Canis lupus familiaris: one gene and its partners. The protein of the gene in region 1 interacts with the protein of each later gene in a biochemical or structural test. Links are inferred from orthologs where the notes say so. Each region holds a gene or a part of one and is shown on either strand. Other genes may lie near its edges. The genes, in order: CASP7, PANX1 and PTGES3.

Region 1 (3,633 bases):
GGAATATTATTTGTGAGCTCAATACCTATGATTGCTCAAGAGAATTTTTAAAGAAACCCAATACCCTGACACTTGGAATCTTTAATGAAGTTTACAAGGGAAATAACTAGAGTACTAAAATTTTTACTTCCAGTTACAATGCACTTAGGCACATTCATTTCTACAAGAGGTTCCTTTAATAGGATAGTCTGTTTTCCAAAGAACAGCTGATGAATTCTGAGAATGGTAGGGTGGATGCTTGTTGATTCATGATCTGCACTTAAATTTTGTACAATTGGATATTTTAGATGGCAGGAAACCAGAGACAGATCTAATAAACTGGCCGTAAAGTAGTTTTCTTATTGAAAGAAGATAAATGGTAGCCCATTGTGAACAGCTTTATAAGTTAATTAACCCTTTACGTGAACAATTTTAGTTTCCCAAGTGACTGACTTGCTGTTCTGTTAGTGTTCCAGCTTCAAAAGAGACATGAATTATATTTTGTGTGGAGGTCAAGTCAGTGAGGGTCAATCCTTATCCCGTTTTCCCATTTTTTCTACTGCCATAAAAAAACTTTAGAATGAAAGCAAACTGAGAAAAAAAAAAAAAAGAAAAGAAAGAAAAGAAAGCAAACTGAGCAGGTTAGGAATTAAGCAACCACTTTTTAATCAATAAATATGAACATCTGTGTGTTAACCAGTTATTAGGCCAGAATAAAATCGTAACTTATCAAGAATTCAAAAGGTAACCTTGAAAACAAAGTGGAAAAATCTTTGCCATAAACTTTTCCCACATAGAGAATTAGGGGTAACAAAAAATTTACTCAGAATAAGGCTTGGAATAATCTAAAAAATTCCAGGTAGATTTCAAAGCTAAAAAATATTATTTTGCACATAGTGGTCAATACGGAGATTATCGGACAATTCAATGAATAAATGATTGAAGGGAGGAATCGCTGAACCTCAGGGAATAGGTTGACTTATATTCACATTATGGACCATTCTGATACCCACTCCTTGCTCCTGCCTCACCTCACTTGGCTTTGCTGTGCTCTGTATTTGCAGGACATCATGCTTCCAAGGCGCTTGTCAGCTGGCTTCCAGGTAAGGTGGTGGAGGAAGAGTCGAGGGCAGGAGAGATGAAGCCACGGTATTTCTTTACATCTGACTCAACTGGTCTTGCCCCAACTCAGGCAGGGGCTTTGTCTCTGCCATGGCTCCAATTCCCACAATCCCTTGGTGGTCCCGGCTCTTACCAGGCCCCCACCATGCTGCCACTTCCGTGGGCTACCCCAGCTTCTAGACTAAGGGGACCACACCTTTTCATAGCCTTAAGTGGTAACAGATTCCTTTTATTTGGGGTTTCTTTTATCATCTTTGTGGTCAATTTCCTCTATTAAATTTCCTCTACTGAAACACCTGGAATGGTTTCTGTTTCCTGTTTGATACATATTAGAATCATTAACATTTTTTTCCCTTTATCTGGAAAGTTTTGCATGAGAATCTGTCCTAAGCCAATGAAAAATCACTCAAATCACACTCTACCCACTTTCTGCAACACTGGTGAACAGATGCTGTTTTTTTTTTTCAGCCCTGCAATGCTATTTGCCAAGTAGACCCCATCTACCGTGTCACCACCAATCATGGTGGACACAGCCAAGAGTCTGTGGAGGTTGTTTCTGTTGTATGTGCTACATGGAACAATAAGCAGATAAATACAAACAAAAAATTAGTCTTAAGAAGAAATTACAAAGCCATCAAATGGATACATTGTAAAAAAAAAAAAAAAAAAAAAGGAGAGAGAGTCTCCGAAAACATACAAACATAAGACAGCACCAGAAAGTTTCTTTCCTTTTGAATCAATAAATGTTCCTGAATTAAAAACCTTTAGAATTTCTAGGTATTTCAAAAGCATCAAAAAAAAAAAAAAAAAAAAAAGACTCATGAACAAATGATCCATGGTTTTTCAGCAAGAATGCATCCCTGAAATGGTTATCTTTTCAGAAGTAGAGTTCCTTGGTAAGCATGGAGACCACACATGGGATCTGCTTCTTCTCGTGGAAGTGGGGGTCATCCGACTGGGACTCGAAGTGCCTGGCCACCCTGTTGTTCACCCTGGTGAGGATATGCAAGATCTCCAGGCTCTTGCCGTGCTCATTCAGGGTGGAGCACAGGGCCTGCACAAACCAGGACCCACTTCCTGGGCTCCTCCATGAGTAATAGCCTTCAACAAGACAGAAAGGAGAAGATCAGATCAGCTGAGCTGGCCGCTGCCCCATGCACCACCAGGAATGGGCTCTCAGTGTATGGGGCCTTCATATCTGCTTTCCCAAAATTATCTTACTCTTCTCTTCCTGCAAGTTCCCAGTGAGAATTGCGCTGGTGTGCTCAGAGAGCAAACATCTTCAGTTTAGAAGGCTGCAAGGAGATGCTTAACACATATGTTCCTGAATGATACACATCAAATACCTAAGTGTGGATGAGACAAATGGGCACGTGGAGCTTTCCAAGGGAAATGCTGGAAAAGCACTCCGGCACTCTGGAACTCCTCACTGCCCTTTGAGGTGAGAGCTACGTTCTAATCCAAGCTTCCAAGAATTTGCAGAGATCTTAGAGAATTTTGAGATGTGTTCCTGTTGTTGGGGCACACAGAACTGGAGCCTGACTCCTTATGAAGAAATCTGGCAGTGAGAGGTGGCTGGATCACCTACTGCCTTAGGGGTAAAGCCAAGAGAGCATGCTGTTCTGAGGCCAACACCATAAGGGCAAGGGGTGTGCTTCTCATGGACCACATCTGGTCTATGCCAGAAGAAGCTTCCGCTCTGTCTGTCCAACAGGATTTCTTGGAGGGACAAGGAGACCTCAGCATAAAGAGGCTAGTCAAGTGTCCTGGAGGATTCCCAGGAGCTGAGGAAGGAATCACAATACACAGCCAGGGATGGAGATGCAAATCAAAGTCCAGGAGATGCAAGACACAGGAAACCAAGGGATTCGAGAACATGCCCAAGAAGAAAGGACCCAGCTTTAATCATCTCATTGGTACAGAGCACAAGAAGCCAGGTAACCATGCAACTTGGAGCTTCCCCTAACTCTCTTCCCATCTTTGACTCTGAAAGAGTCTAAAAAGGAACCGGCATATGGTGAAGGAGGTGAATAAGGGAAAAAATCAAGGCCCTGTTAGCACCTTAGACCTATAGCAGGGCTGATCAGAACCTGGAAGAAATTTAAGGCCGAATTGGGTTCTGGGTCTTAGTTATTATTTCAGTCTGGATATTCTGGTTACAGTGCTGTGACTGTAACCTGGAGAGAGACCATACTGTCTAATATCTTAGTGTGAGCACCACGGACCTGGTGATGGTCAAGGGAAGACTCCATCACTCCCAACCCCCAGGTGGAAAGGAACATATAAAATAAAATCAAGCTGTATTTGGCTTACATGATAAGCTGTGCTTTGTGCTCCTACTGCCAAGTGGTCTCACCAGTTTGATGAGATTCAGTCAACACCATTATAATTGATAACAATCACTTATTGAATAGATGTACAGTAAGTTTAGGAGTGACCTATGTGGGTAAAGTGACTGAGGCACACTTAGAATTCTTCCTGCAGCACTGAGCACTGGTAACCACCAGTGAGGGGATTTAAGCCCCATGTACC
Region 2 (4,188 bases), on another chromosome or scaffold:
CCTCTCAGCCCATCAACTTAAACTTGTTGAAAGTGCTTCTGCTTTCTGAATCCCTCTAGTATGGGGGGGTGGGGTAGATGTCAACTTTGATCACCAAGGGTAACCAACTCCCTCCTCCTGGCATCAGGTGCCCAAGACTGTTACTCCTCCATGACAGGGACTGTGCCTCATTTATTCCTGGGCCCTCGGGGCATAGCACTGGGTCCAACCCATAGCTGGTACCCAAAGAACATCTGCTGAAGGGAGAGATTATCTCTAGGACCCAAGCTGCTTGGTGGTTTTCCTTTCTACTAGAAGTCCCAACTCCTGATCATCTGGAAGGCGGAAGGAAACCCCAGGACTATGCCTGCCCAAAGACAAAAAAACTGATCACGTATTCTCCACAATGAATTTGGCAACTTCCTGCCACACTGAACAACTTAGTGCTGTAGATCACAAAATTAAGCTTACCATAACCCTCTTCTAACTAACTCCTCCTGCAACTTCACTATTCTCATCAAGAGTACCACCATTCTCAGGGTACCTGGGGGGCTCAGGCTTCTGACCATGATTTCGGCTCAGGTCATGATCTCAACATCATGAGATCGAGCCCCCGTATCAGGCTCTGCACCCAGTGGGAAGTCTGCTAGATATTCTCTCCCTCGGCCCCTCTCCACCACCTGCTCTGTGCATGTGCTCTTTCTCTCTTTCTAAATAAATAAATCTTTAAAAAACAAAAATCCCCCCCACCATTCTCCAATCATTCTGGGCTGCAGCCTTTCTATCAACTCTGGTCATATCTGCCCTTCATTGCCTATTAAAAACTAGGTACCCAGGTGCCACTTATTGCTCCTTGATCTCTTAGAATTCACCCCTTCCCATCCTTTCCCTTCAAATCTTGGCCCCCATCCATGCACAAGACGTCAACCAAGGCCCCATCTTCTGGCATCTGGCCTCCCTAGCTCCGATTCTCCTCCTTGATCCCAGACCCTACAGGATACCATCAGGCTTATTCAGTACTGTTTTCAACCAGTCCATCCTCTGCTCACACAATAACTTTGCACTTTTAAAACTACCAAGCCTGTACGCCTCTGTTCTAACGGACCTGGACCCATATTCATGCTCATAACCCAAAACTGTGACTAACACTCCTCCTCAGGGAGTATAGTCATTATCTTTCTCCTTCCAGGAACATATATAACATTCTCTGCGATCTCAGAATCTTTTTTTTTTTTTTGGTATATTTTTTATTGGAGTTTGATTTGCCAACATACAGTATAACACCCAGTGCTCATCCTGTCCAGTGCCCCCCTCAGTGCCCGTCACCCAGTAACCCCACCCCCGCCCTCCTCCCTTCCACTACCCCTTGTTCATTTCCCAGAGTTAGGAGTCTCCCATGTTTTGTCACCTTCTCTGATTTTTCCCACTCATTTTCCTTCCTTTCCCCTATAATCCCTTTCACTATTTTTAATATTCCCCCAATGAGTGAAACCATATAGTGTTTGTCCTTCTCCGATTGACTTACTTCACTCAGCATAATACCCTCCAGTTCCATCCACGTTGAAGCAAATGGTGGGTATTTGTCGTTTCTAATAGCTGAGGAATATTCCATTGTATACATAAACCACATCTTCTTTATCCAGTCATCTTTTGATGGACACCGAGGCTCTTTCCACAGTTTGGCGATTGTGGACATTGCTGCTATGAACATTGGGGTGCAGGTGTCTCAGTTTTTCACTGCATCTGTATTTTTGGGGTAAATCCCGAGTAGTGCAATTGTGATCTCAGAATCTTAACAAAGGTCTCACCTCTGCTTATGCAAATTCCACTGTGCTCCACGGCCAGAAGCCAGCACCATTTCTCACATAGGCTTTCCCCCAGGCCCAGCCCCACCGTCCTCTCTTCTCTCCCACCGCCCATCAAACTGTTTCTAGCTGCTTTCCTGCTGACTCGAAAGTATCCTTTTTCTATGCTTCAGCTCTTGAGGAAGACCAGAGAGTCTTATTAGGCAACCACAAGATCCTGCCCCAGACACTGGCACCTCAGACGCGTTATTATGAGTAAACGACAGTCCACGTGAAGGGGGCTTGTTCATCCCCCATTCATAGTAAGGCCGTTCAGATGGAGGATTCTGGGATCCCACTAATACCAGCCAAGGGCAGTCATTTCCCATCATTCACAACCAACCCCCCAGAGCTCAAGTCTCGGTATCGACCAGTGAGATAAAGAAGGGAGCGCACAGCTTTCACGGAGTCCTCTTCTTCACGCCCTCCGCTCAGCCGCTCCGGAACTTCTCTGCTCCAAAATTGTGGATAATTACGCAAATGTGGGAGAGAGAGGACGGGATGAGGAGGCCGTGGTTTCCACAAATCTGATAGCGAGGGCAGGACACGCACTCCAGGGCGCAGTCGGGATCAGCGGGGTGCAGGCAGAACGGGGGGGGGGGGGGGATGCAAGCGGGATCCGCAGGGCCACAGCCTGCACCACGTGCGCAAAGAACACTCGAGGCCATCAGCCCGGGGCTGCCTTTCTACCCCGCGTCCCCGCCACGGGGCGCGCAGTCAGACCACGTCCCGCAGACCCGGGACCGCGGCCCACGCGGCTCGCGCCGCCGCCCGGCCCCGCCCCTCCGCCCGGCCTTACCCGTCGAGATTTCCTGCGCGAAGGCCAGCGAGATGAGCAGCAGCGGCAGCCCCACGGCGATGTACGTGACCATCTTGTCCACCGCCAGCTCCAGCCGCAGCCCCTTGAACTTGGGCTCCGAGGGCTCCTTCAGCAAGAAGTCCGAGAACACGTACTCGGTGGCCAGGTGGGCGATGGCCATGGCCGCGGCGGCGCGCTCAGGCCCCGGGCCCAGGGGGCGGGGCGGGCAGGCCGGGACCCCCGCCTCGGGACCGCGGCGCCGCGCCTTCGCCGTCCCCTGCCGCCCCCGCGGATTTCGCTTTCCCTTTGCCGGCTCCCGGGCCGCTCACACATGCGCCAGCCTTTGTGCGCCGGGGCGCGCGGCTGCCTATGAGGCCCAGCGCCGCCGCCGCGCCCCCGCCCGCGCTCCGCCCCGCCCCCGCCCGCGCCCCCGCCCGCGCCCCGCCCGCGCCCCGCCCCCGCCCGCGCCCCGCCTCGCCCCCGCCCGCGCTCAGCCAGCCCCGAGCCGGCCCCGGGTGCGCTCCCGCCTCGCCCGCCCCCCGCGCCCCGCCCCGCCCCGCCCCGCCCCGCCCGCGCCCCGCTCGCCCCGCCCAGCTCTTCCGGAACCCGAGGTCTTCCGAGCTCCTCCGACAGCCGGGCGCGCGGAGCCGCGGGGGACAGGTGGCCCGCCCAGCACGGCGATCCCCGGCGGAGCAGCGGCGCCACGGAAACGCCCCGCCCCTTCGGCCTCAGCGCCCCCTCCCGCCCGCCTTGCTGGGCCGCGGTTTCCCCGCAGCTCTGCACGGTGGACTCCGCTTAAGAGGAGCTGCAGACGCTGCCAAGGGCCACGGCTGCCCCGGAGCCCAGCGGCCGGCGTGGAGGACGGGACTCTGCACCCTCCGCGCCTCGGCGACCGCGCCCGGGGGGCCGAGCCTCCAGCCTCCGCCGTCCGCGCGTGCTGCCTGTGGGCGCTGCCGACCGCCGCTGCCGACCCGCCTCCAGGAGGTGGAGCCTGAGAAGCGCGAGGAGATGCTGCGGCGGGCAGAACCCGCAGGCGGGAGGGCCCTCGGGCTGCGCTGCCGCCCCCGCCCTTCCCACCCGGGCCGCCCCCCCCGCCCCCCGGCTGCGCTCAGGTCCCTCGCGCACGTCTCCACCTGTCCTAGCCTCCGATCGCTCAGCCAGCAGTTTACACCGCCCTCCGCCCGGGTGGCTCCCAGGACTTCGGACTCCGAGGACCCAGGAACGCAGGCCTTATCTTCCTCTCCGGCTGAACTCCGGTCCTCCCCAGCTGGCGGAAAGCGCCGCCATCCACCCAAGCCAGAGCCTCCAGCGTCGTCTTTAAGCTTCCAGTTCTCCCAGCTGCCATAGTTTGGAAAGTGAATTTCCAAATTCACTTGGTCCTCGCCAAGTGAAAAGGTGATGGTTTTTCTCCACATGCACCGCCAGCACTGGGATTTAGGCCACCGTCCTTTCCCTTTCTCTTTCTCTCTGTATATTCTTTTATTGGACTTCGACTTGCCAACATATAGTAGAACACCCAGTGCTCATCCTTTCTCTTAACCGCATACAGCGGTGGATCGCATAGGC
Region 3 (4,174 bases), on another chromosome or scaffold:
TCTTAAGATATTTTTTCTGAGTTCCTAAATGGGAAATTGTTGATCCTAGTGTATTCTGTTACAGAAGTACAATATGTATTGTAGTAAACTTTATTATGTACTGTGTAGATTGACAGTGATTTTAAATTGAGGCTGACTTCTCTGTTTCCCTAGGACACCTTTGAACTTCTGGTTTTTCAGGAAGATGCCAATTACTTTACACATTACCTTGAGCAGTAGTATGTTCTTCCCCCTATTGTATTCCAAAGCCATAATGTGCTTTAGTGCATTTTCTGTACAGTAGTTGATCTTCACATGTTGTCATACTTTATTATTAAAAAAGTATTTGTCAGGGTCCTTTCCAGCTCAGCATTTTAATTATCTTTGTGTACGGAAGGCTCTAAGTCACAGACAGGTGTTCTTAAAAATTTTAGTATATATTTAAGTTCCATAAATACTAGTTCACACAGTGCTAATTAGTATAAGGAGTTGTCCTAGATAGAATTGGAACTCAGGATTTCTGACAGAAAGGTTATTTTTTCCACTTTACAGAAAGGAAGAATAATTTCCCAGTGATCCTTTTATTTCCAAAGAAATAACTATGTCTCTCTAGTTCTGTCTTATTATGTAAACTGTTTCTGTTAAAACCTGTGCCACTTCTTGACATACGATAATGGAGTCCAGAGGCTCTGAAATTTTTCTCTACTGGAGGCACTGAGAACGTTGACCTTGAGTCTTATTTGTTCTTTTTTTTTTTTTTGAGTCTTATTTGTCTGAAGAAAAATTACTATATCTGCTTTGGAGATATTTAAAAGAATGCACAAAAGTGGGAGTGTAGGAAGGTTGGAGTTGCTTGGAAGAAAGGCGCTAAGTCTTGGGAGAAATACCATCTTTAAGAACAGCTTTCACTTTTACGTTTAGAGTAGGAATTACCAAATAAAGGAACTAATAACACAGGTTCACAAATGTTCTTGGTTTGCCCTTTTATGTCTTAGTAGGTTTTTTGTTGTTTCCTTTTTTTTTTTTTTTTTTTTTTTTTAATGGTGTTGCTGGCCAAAAGAAGTAACCTAGCAGTTCTGTTAGTTAGGTAGTTAGGTCAAAACAACTTAAGTAATTTATCCGAACAACCTAGTAGTCTTTGAAAAGCAAATACACAAAAATTGAAAGAAAAAGGTTTTTTGTTTTGTTTTGTTTTTAATAACCACAGTTACAGAATATGAATGCCCTTTGGGCACTGTATAACTTCTTATAACTTGAATTCAGATTAGATATGTCTATCTCAACTTCTGTTCTCTACTGTTTTGTTTTTTTTTATGGGTCCCTTTCTCCCCCCCCACCCCCCCTTTTTTTCCTCTAAATCACAGCAACACCAAAATTCTAACTTTGGAGAAATGAAGATTAATGGAGAGGGATGTGGTGCAGTCTGCTTTAAAACTGAACCACCTGGTGTCTGAACTGAGGTTGAGTATCACTAAATTTTTCTCAAATTTAAAATATCTTGCAGCAACCCAGTAAGTTTCTTGTGGTGCCCTGATGCACCTTGGCAAGTAATTTGGAAGCAACTGGGTCAGCATGTGTATTCAGATCACCTATCTAGAAAGTTTTACATGGTAGTACAACTGACATACAGATACTCTGAAAGTATGAGAAGCATATCTTGGGTTTTGTTTGAAGAAAGAATATGTGCATAAGAGAGTGTTGGATTGGGGATCCCTGGGTGGCTCAGCAGTTTAGTGCCTGCCTTCTGCCCAGGACGAGATCCTGGAGTCTCGGGTTCGAGTCCCCACGGCCTCCTTGCATGGAGCCTGTTTCTGCCTCTGCTTGTGTCTCTGCCTCTCTCTCCCTCTCTCTGTGTATCTCATGAATAAATAAAATCTTTAAAAAAAAGAGTGTTGGATTTTTAGACATTTGTGGACAGGGCTTTTCACTGCTCAATTTATGTGCAGTCAAAAGCCCAGTCCAAAAAGGAACTACTTTTTTCCTTTCTAATAGCAGAATTTCATGTTTCCATATCATTCCTCACTTAGTACAAACTAAAAAAGATTTACCTGTGTCTTGATTCCTTTTTGTAAATAATAGACTATTTGACAAACTTAGTTTTAAAAAAATCAGTAATTCTGAATTTTATAACCTCTTTATTGCTGATTTTTTTCCTTGGTTTTAATGATTTTTCTTTTATAATCTTTTATGATGTTTATTTTTTTAAATGTTTTTTTTTTAAAGATTTTATTTATTTATTCATAGAGATGCAGAGAGAGAGAGAGAGAGAGAGAGAGAGGCAGAGACACAGGCAGAGGGAGAAGCAGGCTCCATGCAGAGAGCCCGACGTGGGACTCGATCCAGGGTCTCCAGGATCATGCCCTGGGCTGCAGGCAGCACCAAACCGCTGCGCCACCAGGGCTGCCCTCTTTTATGACGTTTAAAGATACTCTGAGATGTATAAGAGATCATCGAATCTAGTGTTTAAGAAGCTTCCTATTAAATAGAAATGTTTACTTCTAAACCTAGAAAATACTAGGTTAAGATTTAGTAAAAAGCTAGTCTTCTGATTTCTATTGTTTTATCTTAGAATTCAAAGTGATCCTGTAATTCAGAAAAATAATGGTGCTCCATTAAGAGTTAACTTGAAAGGAAACTCATTGGGGCACCTGGGTGGCTCAGTGGTTGAGTGTCCACCTTCACCTCCGGTTGTGATCTTGGGATGGAGTCCCACATTGGGCTCCCTGTGGGGAGCCTGCTTCTCCCTCTGCCTATGTCTCTGCCTCTCTTTGTGTGTCTCATGAATACATGAATTAAAAAAAAAAAAAAAAAAACTAAGTACAGTTGATTCTTGAGTAACACGGGTTTGAACTGTGTGGGTCCATTTAGGCAAATCTTTTCCAATAAATACAATAAGGTTAGTGTATTTTTTTTTTTTTAAGATTTTTTTTTTTAAGATTTTATTTATTTATTCATGAAAGACACAGGGAGAGAGAGAGGCAGAGACACAGGCAGAGGGAGAAGCAGGCTCCATGCAGGGAGCCTGACTTGGGACTTGATCCCAGGTCCCCAGGATCACAACCTGGGCTAAAAGCCGCACTAAACTGCTGAGCCACCCGGGCTGCCCTCTTTTTTAAGATTTTAACCAACTGAGCCATCCAGGCATGCGCGCGCGCGCACACACACACACCCTTTTTTTTTGTTTTTTAAATTTTTATTTATTTATGATAGAGAGAGAGAGAGAGGCAGAGACACAGGCAGAGGGAGAAGCAGGCTCCATGCACCGGGAGCCCGATGTGGGATTCGATCTCGGGTCTCCAGGATCTCGCCCTGGGCCAAAGGCAGGCACCAAATTGCTGCGCCACCCAGGGATCCCTTTTTTTTTTTTTTTTTTTTTTTAAGTAAGTTCTACAGCCATTGTGGAGCCCAGGGTGGGGCTTTGACTCACAACTCTGAGATGAAGACCTGACCTAAGATCAAGACAAGAGTCTGACTCCCTTAACTGCCTGAGCCACCCAGGTGCCCCTGTGAAATTTTTTTTTTTTTAAGGACTTTCTCAACATTGTTTTTTTTTTCTCTAGTTTCTTTCTTCCTTTCTTTCCTTTCTTTCCTTTCTTTTCAAGATTTTATTTATTCATAGAGGCACAGAGAGAGAGAGAGAGGCAGAGACACAGGCAGAGGGAGAACCAGGCTCCATGCAGGGAACCCGACCCGACATGGGACTCGATCCCAGGACTCCAGGATCACGCCCTGGGGCTGCAGGCGATGCTAAACAGCTGCTTTAGCTGCGTCTCTTGGGCTGCCCTTTTTCCTCTAGTTTCATTGGAAGAATATACAGTGTATAACATATGATATACAAAGTATGTGTTTATTGTTTACATTTGGATAAAGAGTCTGGTCAACAGTAGGTTATTAGTAAAGTTTTAGGGGAGTCCTAAATTATGCTTGGATTTTCATCTTTGTTAAGGGGTTGGTGCCCTTAACTCTCATATTCAAAGCTCAGCTGTACGAATAACCAGAGAAAGTTTTTGTTTTGTTTTGTTTGAGTGTTGTGATGTGTTACCTATGTACACATTAAGATAAACTGTAGTTAGTAATGGACCTGATCCCTTTACCCCCCTTCCCCAATATTTCTTAATATTTTTGGACTACATTTAACTTGAATGTAAGTTTTGTTTTGTTGACTGCTCTATCTCCAGAACGATTCCTAACCCCA

The links.
Region 2: of the proteins of CASP7 (region 1) and PANX1, one has a biochemical effect on the other in vitro, tested with the Homo sapiens proteins (2 studies listed by IntAct). The link is inferred for Canis lupus familiaris from reciprocal best matches to the Homo sapiens genes CASP7 and PANX1.
Region 3: of the proteins of CASP7 (region 1) and PTGES3, one has a biochemical effect on the other in vitro, tested with the Homo sapiens proteins (2 studies listed by BioGRID and IntAct). The link is inferred for Canis lupus familiaris from reciprocal best matches to the Homo sapiens genes CASP7 and PTGES3.

Annotation. Positions count from the first base shown.
Region 1 is NC_049249.1:24,923,716-24,927,348, reverse strand, and holds the end of CASP7 (caspase-7), read right to left. Parts: intron 2,203-3,633; coding exon 1,979-2,202; 3' UTR 622-1,978; downstream 1-621. UniProt on the Homo sapiens protein: Thiol protease involved in different programmed cell death processes, such as apoptosis, pyroptosis or granzyme-mediated programmed cell death, by proteolytically cleaving target proteins.
Region 2 is NC_049242.1:6,792,714-6,796,901, forward strand, and holds the start of PANX1 (pannexin-1), read right to left. Parts: upstream 2,870-4,188; 5' UTR 2,804-2,869; coding exon 2,623-2,803; intron 1-2,622. UniProt on the Homo sapiens protein: Ion channel involved in a variety of physiological functions such as blood pressure regulation, apoptotic cell clearance and oogenesis.
Region 3 is NC_049231.1:1,253,934-1,258,107, reverse strand, and holds the start of PTGES3 (prostaglandin E synthase 3), read left to right. Parts: upstream 1-1,365; 5' UTR 1,366-1,380; coding exon 1,381-1,439; intron 1,440-4,174. UniProt on the Homo sapiens protein: Cytosolic prostaglandin synthase that catalyzes the oxidoreduction of prostaglandin endoperoxide H2 (PGH2) to prostaglandin E2 (PGE2).